Regions from separate parts of the Mus musculus genome. Here region 2 is reported to be linked to region 1. The links are microRNA targets in miRTarBase. Many come from high-throughput screens and were not tested one by one. Region 1 holds a microRNA gene; the other region holds the end of a gene's coding sequence.
What was found. Region 1 holds the annotated microRNA mmu-miR-671-5p (AGGAAGCCCUGGAGGGGCUGGAG, at 3,111-3,133, shown strand). A microRNA usually pairs through its seed, bases 2 to 8, with sites in the 3' UTR of a target mRNA and lowers its output. Matches are read on the target gene's strand: a 7mer-m8 pairs with bases 2 to 8, a 7mer-A1 pairs with bases 2 to 7 and ends in A, and an 8mer does both.

Region 2: miRTarBase lists Limd2 as a target of mmu-miR-671-5p. Seed matches in the 3' UTR shown: 7mer-A1 at 2,792-2,798.

Annotation. Positions count from the first base shown.
Region 1 is chr5:24,589,022-24,593,400 of GRCm38, forward strand. It overlaps Mir671 (microRNA 671), which reads left to right and starts at 3,093; the gene lies at 3,093-3,190. It overlaps Chpf2 (chondroitin polymerizing factor 2), which reads left to right. Exons shown (of 4, transcript NM_133913.2): 2 at 76-640; 3 at 1,288-1,470; 4 at 2,048-3,466. The coding sequence ends at 3,343. Smarcd3 (SWI/SNF related, matrix associated, actin dependent regulator of chromatin, subfamily d, member 3) reads right to left here. Exons shown (of 13, transcript NM_025891.3): 11 at 4,204-4,326; 12 at 3,996-4,097; 13 at 3,601-3,783. The coding sequence ends at 3,730.
Region 2 is chr11:106,154,956-106,159,334 of GRCm38, forward strand. Limd2 (LIM domain containing 2) reads right to left here. Exons shown (of 5, transcript NM_172397.4): 3 at 4,207-4,251; 4 at 3,980-4,119; 5 at 1,299-3,878. The coding sequence ends at 3,719. Map3k3 (mitogen-activated protein kinase kinase kinase 3) reads left to right here. Exons shown (of 16, transcript NM_011947.4): 16 at 1-1,701. Among named protein-coding and RNA genes, the nearest start is that of Gm10840, 2.2 kb to the right of the region's middle.

The DNA of each region.
Region 1 (4,379 bases):
AATGTATGTGCTAGGCTGGTACACGCTCCCTTAATGACTCAGGAGCTGACCCCTTATCTTCTGGTCTCTCCGTAGGACTCGGTATATACAGACAGAGCTGGGCTCTCGTGAGCGCCTGCTGGTGGCTGTCCTGACTTCTCGAGCCACACTGTCCACCCTGGCCGTCGCGGTTAACCGTACAGTAGCACATCACTTCCCTCGGTTACTCTACTTCACAGGGCAGCGAGGGGCCCGGGCTCCTGCAGGGATGCAGGTGGTGTCTCATGGAGATGAGCGGCCTGCCTGGCTCATGTCAGAGACCCTGCGCCACCTTCACACACACTTTGGGGCAGACTATGACTGGTTCTTCATCATGCAGGACGACACATATGTGCAGGCCCCCAGATTGGCAGCTCTTGCTGGTCACCTTAGCATCAACCAAGACCTGTACTTAGGCCATGCAGAGGAATTCATTGGTACAGGAGAGCAGGCCCGGTACTGCCATGGGGGCTTTGGCTACCTGTTGTCACGGAGTCTCCTATTGCGCTTGCGGCCACATCTGGATGGCTGCCGAGGGGACATTCTCAGTGCCCGGCCTGATGAATGGCTTGGCCGCTGCCTCATCGACACTCTGGGCATCGGCTGTGTCTCACAGCACCAGGTGACAGCCCCTTCAAGGCAGTCCCAGTCCCCCAAAGGTTGGCAGTGACTGAATGATTGCTGTCCAAACTGAATTCTCCAGACATCCTTTTGTCCTTCCCAGAGGCCAGCTAGCCCCTTCCGCTCTCCCTTGCTCACCTTACAGCCCTGGGGCCATCAAAAGTGTGAAATTTTAGGGACCCCTGAACAAAACAGGAAGAGGTGCCTGAAGTCATCAACCTTCCTGTCTGCCATCCTCCCCACCCCCTTTTCCACACCCAGTGCACATCACAATTAAGGACAAGGTGAAAATGTTCTAGAGTTCACCACCCTAGCCCTACCCCCACCCCCACCCCCAAGGTGGAAAGCTCTATCATAGAAGGCTGATATCCCAGGGGCAAGACATCTTCCACACCTGCCTGCTGGGATGTCCTACAGCTGTATTCTCATTGAGCAGTGGGGTTCTTGGGGAAAGAGGAGGCCCTTAGTTGCCCATTTGCCTTATTTCCAAAATGTGAGCATTAGAAGCAGGAATGGAGGTTAGGGGTCCACTGCTTCTCAGTCCCTTCTAGAGCGGTGGTGGTGACAGGTGTGAGTGCTAAGGAGACCAAGGCTTTGGGGAACCACAGCTTATGTGTGCAGCATTGATTGTCTGATTGGTCCCTCTAGGGGCAACAGTATCGCTCCTTCGAACTGGCCAAGAATAGGGACCCTGAGAAGGAGGAGAGCCCTGCTTTCCTGAGTGCCTTCGCCGTTCACCCGGTCCCCGAGGGCACCCTCATGTACCGGCTCCACAAACGCTTCAGTGCTCTGGAGTTGGAGCGGGCTTACAGCGAAATAGAACAACTGCAGGTGAGCCACTGCAGTGAGCTGTGCCTGAAGGCCATGGCTGGGAGCTTAGAGGGGTCCTGGGGAGTCCAGGGCTAGGGTGGAGACAGCCTGGGGTCCAGCTACAGTAAGCTCTGGCTTGTCAAATTTGTAGGTAAACTCCCAGAAACTTACTTAAACTACATTAGTGCTCTGCCCAGAGAGACAGGCAGCAGCATTCTAGGCGTCTAGAATTGTGCTAAAGGCCCAAAAGATAGAAGAGGGGAATTCTGTAGTGTGGGGGTCATCAGAAGTGGGGTATAGATTTGATAGATAGGTCAGAGGATCATGAAGAGGATGTTGGTCCTGTGAGCGCGGGATTGAAAGTGTATTGAACTGTGTATTTTGAGATCTGCTTCCTTCTGCCAAGCAGATGGTCCTGGCGGCAGTTGTGAAGGTGGGCATTCCTCGCCTCCCTTCTGTATTTTAGATTATGACAGTTATGGGCAAGGGACTCGGTGGTTAGCCAGGCCCTGCTGATGGACCCCCAGAGCCTGGGCATCTGGAGCCGGGTGGAATCTCAGAACCAGCACTAATGTTGGTTGCATTCCCTCCAACTTAGGCCCAGATCCGGAACCTGACGGTGCTGACCCCTGAGGGGGAGGCAGGGCTAAGCTGGCCTGTTGGGCTCCCGGCCCCTTTCACTCCACACTCTCGCTTCGAGGTGCTGGGCTGGGACTACTTCACGGAGCAACACACCTTCGCCTGTGCAGACGGGGCTCCCAAGTGTCCCCTGCAGGGGGCTAGCAGGGCAGATGTAGGGGACGCTGTGGACACAGCTCTGGAGCAGCTCAATCGGCGCTATCAGCCCCGCCTGCGCTTCCGGAAGCAGCGGCTTCTCAATGGCTACCGGCGCTTTGACCCTGCAAGGGGCATGGAATACACCCTCGACTTGCTGCTGGAAGCTGTGACTCAGCGAGGGCACAGACGCTCCCTGGCCCGCAGAGTGAGCCTGCTGAGGCCACTGAGCAGAGTGGAAATCCTGCCTATGCCCTATGTCACCGAGGCTACCCGGGTGCAACTGGTGCTGCCACTCCTGGTGGCTGAAGCTCCGGCCGCCTTGGCTTTTCTTGAGGCCTTTGCTGCCAGTGTTCTGGAGCCTCGAGAACATGCATTGCTCACCCTGTTGTTGGTCTATGGGCCCCGGGAAGGCCGAGGGGGCCCTGACCCATTTCTCGGAGTGAAGGCTGCAGCAGCTGAGTTAGAACGACGGTACCCAGGGGCGAGGCTGGCCTGGCTCGCTGTGCGAGCAGAGGCCCCTTCGCAGGTGCGACTCATGGATGTCATCTCCAAGAAACACCCTGTGGACACACTCTTCTTCCTTACCACCGTGTGGACAAGACCTGGGTCGGAAGTCCTCAACCGCTGCCGTATGAATGCAATCTCGGGCTGGCAGGCCTTCTTTCCGGTCCACTTTCAGGAGTTCAACCCTGCTCTGTCACCACAGAGATCTCCCCCAGGTGTCCCTGGGGCTGATCCCCCCTCCCCTGGTGTGGACCCTTCTAGGGGGGCTCCGGTCGGGGGCAGATTTGACCGGCAGGCTTCAGCAGAGGGCTGCTTCTACAATGCTGACTACCTGGCAGCCCGCGCCCGGCTGGCTGGCGAACTGGCAGGCCAGGAAGAGGAGGAAGCCCTGGAGGGGCTGGAGGTGATGGATGTTTTCCTCCGGTTCTCAGGGCTCCACCTCTTTCGAGCCGTAGAGCCAGGGCTGGTGCAGAAGTTCTCTCTGCGGGACTGTAGCCCCCGGCTCAGCGAGGAACTGTACCACCGTTGTCGCCTCAGCAATCTGGAGGGGCTGGGGGCCCGTACCCAGCTAGCCATGGCTCTGTTTGAACAGGAACAGGCCAACAGCACTTAGCCTCTCCACCCCTGTATCTGCCATAGCCCCGGGAAGGGCAAGGCAAGGTGACGGACAGATGGAGGGCTTGCCACTGTATTTTTTTAAAAATAAGAAATGTTATTAAACGTATCTTCTGCCAAACTGTTTTTAGGTCTAGGGAGAGGGGTAAGAAGAAGAATCTGTGGTAGGGTTGTGGAGAATTTGTCTGCCGGCTTCCACTGCCTTCCCCTTCTCTTCCTCCTTCCCATCCCCGTCCACAATGACCACAAGGCTGCTGTCTGTTACGTGACCTTTAATCCATCCAGCCCTCCCCACCTTCCGCACAGCGCGAGAGGGGGAGTCCAGAGCCCAGGGCCTGTGCTGGGCGGAGTGGCTGGTCCACCCTGACGCTTGTTCACGGGCTCCTAGGTGTTGCGCACGACCAGCGACTGCTCCAGCTCCTGCCTGCGCTGCTGGATCTTTAGAGGAAGTGTGAGCGGGGCAGGGTTACAGTGATCCTGGTGAGTGACCAGGGGTACCCCATCCTGGCACCCCTCCCCTGGAAGAGTCTGGGAACCAGGAGACTACTGCATGGGGGTGTAGGGTGGTGGACAGGTAACTGTGGCCAGGTGAGAGGCAAGGCTGCCAGGACTGAAGGAGAGGGAGCCTCGGGTTCCTGGGCCTCCATTACCTTACAGTAGAAGTAGCGGCTAACGGCTTCCTGGGACCAGGGCTGGTGGTAGAACTCAGCCCTGCGTTCTTCCTCGGGGTTCCCTGCCACATCTGTCATCACCTGGGAGGGAGCACGGGGCCTGTGGTGAGTTCCCCTGAGGTGCATGCCCACCTGCCCCAGCCCGTGTGCTTGTCTTCGCATCAGTGCTCCCGGAGCCCCACTTCACCTTGAGATCACGGCTCTGGGAGCGGAGCAGGTCTTGGACGTAGCCTTTGGGGTCTCTGGAGAAACTTAGCATGAAGTCCCTCTGGATCTTGAGCTGGTTTATGGACTCAATCGTCTCATGGATCTACAGGTAGAAAGACAATGATTTCCACCTGCCCTGTGCTGCGGGAGAGGGAG
Region 2 (4,379 bases), not on the chromosome of region 1:
TTAGGCCTTGGACTGGATGGAAGAGCTGATGGCCTCTGCCCCCTGGCCTGCCCTCTGTTCCCTCACTGGAGCAGAGAAAGTAGACAACACAAGTCAGGGCACCTGGTTCTGGGCAGCTCAGCAGAGTGCAGGGGGTTGTCTCAGGCTGTCTGCATCTCAAATCTGTCAGGCCTGAGCCCACTCCATGGGAAAGTCCTTGAGCTGCCACAACCGTGTCCAAAGCCACCAGCTGTGTTCCTCAGCCCGACCTGTCCACTTGTCATCAACCTCATTCCCTTCTTGTTCCTCCCACAAAGGAGGATGCCAGTAGGGGCTAGGGAAAGAGTTATCTCCAAGCAGCTTAGAGTTGGCCATATTTACCTCAGCCTGGGTGCTGGTCCTTTCTTCCAGCCCCTTTCTTCCCCTCCAAATGTGCCTATTTCTAGAGCTCCTCCCTCCTAACTCCCAAATTTTTGGGAGTTATCATTAAAGGAAAGGAAAAAAAAAAAAAAGAAGCCAGTGCCCAGGGATGGGCATCTCCAGGGAGCTGGGGATTAGTGCCAGGCAGCTCTTTGCCAGCCATGCCCACTTCCCCATGGGCACAGAACAAGCCAAAGCCTTCGTTGTATGTTGACGATGCACTTTTATGAATGTAGTTTCTATCGCTGTTTTTAGCCTTTTCACATCATGTAATGTGAGGCCTTGTACTTGTTAATTTATATCTCAGATCCATATTTGATGGTTTTATATATATATATCAATTCTAGACTGTTACCGGTGATGGACTCCTGAAGAGAGAACAGAAATTGAAAGCAGCTGGTTTTGCAGATATGTGTGTTGCACGGTGCCAATTGGGCCTGGGCCCCTCTGTTTTATTTCCTTTCCCTTGGGGGTCTGTCAGGCCACTCTCTAACTGCTCTGAAGCCAGTGAGCAAAGTCCTGCTTCCACCTCAGCCTTTGCCCAAAGTAGGGACTGGCCCCTCTTCTAGACCAAAGCTGCCAAAAGGCAGCTGGGCCTCTCCATGACCCCATCCTGATGGCTATATAGCACCCTTTAGCCTATCCCTATCCACACCCCGAACCCAAAGGAGATAGAGATTGGTGGGGTGACAAGATGTTAGATGAGACAACTCTGCTTGTCACAGGTTCAGGCTCTCACGGAGCTCCCCCCATATCCCCATGGGGGGGGGGGGGGAGTGTATTACCTCATAGGCAATGTTTCTAAAATGAACTTAAAAGTAAACCAACAAATTCTGCACTCCAAAGGGGGGGTGGGGGGGAGACACCTTTTTTTGTGCCAAAAACTGTGGACATGCTGGTTCAGCAGCCTCAGGACCAAGCTGTTAATTTATTTTTTTCTTATTAACAAATCCAAATGACAAGTTGTGGGCCTCCAGGGTGGCCTGGGCCCAAAGGTTATGAAGGAAGGTTTCCTAGCAGCCCTTGGCCTGCTGTGCAAAGATGCTACACCACCTTCATTTGTTCTTCATTCCATGGGGTTTATCTGCCTTCACCAACCCCACATGGAAGGGCCAAGCCTGGGTCAGGTGCACGCTGCCACCCTCCTTCCCCTCCCTCCCACTTGCCCAGCTCTGTGTCTGAATTGTGGAATGTGCAGAAGAACCTGCAGCCATAGTTATTGACTATATCTTGACTGAGGGCTTGCAGTGCAAAGCCAGGCCAGTGCATTACTTACAATAAAAGGGATCATTTATATCAGAAGGGTCCTGTGACCATGCTTTCGGTTAAAGGTGGTGGTGGGAATTTTTACAGGGATGGGTTGGGTACAATGCCTAACACCCAAGTTGAGGCCTCTTAAATAGAACTTGAAATGGCTGCCAAAAGCAGCCTGTGATAACTTGGCCAAGGTGGCCCCTCTCCTTCCCTTTTATCCCAGCGCGTCACTGGGACAGCACTGGTTGTCCATCTGAGCCGAATCCATCAATAGCTGAGTTCCTAGGACCATTCATGGCATTTTGTAGTCTTCCTGGCCGAGGGGTTTCCCTTGGTCCCTTACAGAACATCAGTCAGAGGCAAGGTCTCACTATGTAGCTCTGCTGTCCTGGAACTCACTACATAGAACAGGCTGATCTTGAATGCACAGAGACCCACCTGCCTCTGCCTCCTGAGTGCTGGTATTAAAAGCATGTGCTGCCACGTCCAGCCCAGCCACTGTTTCTTTACTGCAGCAAGAGACCATCCTTGTCCCATAAATCCAAGGCTTTGTCGTGCCTGCTTCCCAGATGCCCACCTGAAGGAAGTCTACAGTGATTCACCCATTAGCAAGACCAGAGGCCGGGCTGCCTAGCAGCCTTTGACCTCTTGCTTACCGATTCATCTGTCCCATAGGCAGTTTGCAGAAGCCAGGAAAATAGGGCTTGGGGCGAGACAACTCAGACTTCCACTGAGGGAGCATCTTCACACTTGCCTTGTGCTTCTGCTGTGTGATGTCGTCCCTCAGTGTGCATGAACTCTGAGGAGCGCAAAGTTTGCCCCTGGAGGTCCTGGCACAGTAGCTGTGACATCCCACTTCATACAAGAGGCTCCAGGAAGATGACAGTCATGAGGAGAGAAGGTGGAAGACGTTGTACTGGCAGCACTTGATAGGCTATGGATTCCTACCATTCTTTGCAGATTTCTAGGGTAAAGGACTAGGAGGAAATTGGACAGCTGGAATCAGCTAGCAGAAAGGCAGACACTAAGGTCTTGGCCAAGTCAGAAAGGTTCTCTTCTGTACTCAAGTGTAGTGAATTAACCTCTGAAGAACCGAAGCCAGGCATGGATGACACAGGCCTTTTTAATCCCAGCACTTTGGAAGCAGAGGCAGGCAGATCTCTGTGTTCTAGGCCAATCAGAGCTACAGTGAGACCCTGTCTCAAAAACCCAAAACATTTGTGTGGTTGCAAGCCAGTGTGCCTGGCTACTCTGGGACGAGGATACACAGTGGGATTTCAGGTTTGACAGCTTAACACCCCAAGGTGGCACAGACCACCAGCCCCTTTAAGGCCAGGAGTATTGTGGGCTGTCCTCCATTCCCCTCGCTATGAGGAGTCTGCTGCATGCCTGCCACAAAGCATCCCCATCAGGCCACACAAGAGAGTCAAGAGCTGTTTAAATGTTTTTAAAAGAGGGTTGATCACAACAGAACAGCACAACAGATGGAGGAGCATAGCTACTGCCGACCCTGTCAGCTGAGGCTCTAGCAAGAGCTTTAGCTTTGTGGTGCAAGGGACCCCCAGACCCTGAAGGCTGCAGGCTGTCTTGCCTCTTCCCCAGCCCTCCCCCCTCAGCGAGGTGGCATCTATGAGGCCCAGTAGATGGCACTCTCCCTCTTCCAGTCTCTGTGGCTCATTACCAGGCTAAGGGGCAGAGGTAGATGGGGAGACAAGGGGGTACACAAGGCCCAGGTGGCAGTGAGGGAGCTTGGGACCCTGAGGAGGGCATGCTGACTCCTTGCTGGAGAAAAGGCACCTAAGTAGGGAAGCTGGGCTTGTGGGCCTCCCAGGGAGCCGTGGGGTGAGATGAGGTGGACTAAAGGACACAGTATGGTGAAAATTCCAATTCTGGTTCCCAACGCCAACCTCCCATGGGAAAAGTAAGGAATCCTGGAGCAGAGCCTTATGCCTGAAACCTGTGTGAGGGAGCCTCATCCTCTCCCACCCCGCGCCCCCGGGTTAATCTCCTTTCCACTGCCCAGCGGGAGGCCATGTGCTGGGAGGGAATGGGTGTTAAAGGGGTCTCAGGCCGTCTTGGTGCCTGAGTCCACCTCCTTGTGGGCCCAGAGCTCCTTGTGCTGTTTACGACCAAACCCTTCATCGTAGTTGCCTTTACTCTTAAACAGCTGCTGAAAGTGAGGTCTGCAGTAAAATTCACCGTGCATTGCAGCATAACTGCCCAGGCTGTGGAAGCAGAGAACATCTGGGTCAGTCTGGGGCAGGGCGGGAAGGTAGGGTAAGGGTGGGCAAGTAGGTGGGCAGGCCGGGACAGGGCAGGAGCGCACCTGAGTTTGGTGTGGCAGTGTTTGCAACAGAAACAAGAGTTGTGGAAAATGAGCTTGTCTGCCACCAGCCGCTCCATCGGGTACACAGTCTTCTGGCAGGCTGCACAGGTCTCCTTCACCTGAGCCCGCAAGCTAAAGGACTGTGGAGTAGGAGCAGAGTACACTTAGCAAGAAGCCGGGTTAGCGCCGACCCTTTCCTCTGCCCACACCCACCCTTAGGACCCTACCTTAGACCGCTGTACCGTGCTGCTGCCACTGCTGCCTTTGGCTTCCTGGGGGAAGAGGAAGAGTCAGAGGGGTCAGCTCTCCGGTGGCCCAGCCCACATCCCAGGGGCACTCGAGGTGGCACAAGGTGCCAAGCAAACAAGCTGCTCTTGTCCCCTTGACTCCTCCCCACCTG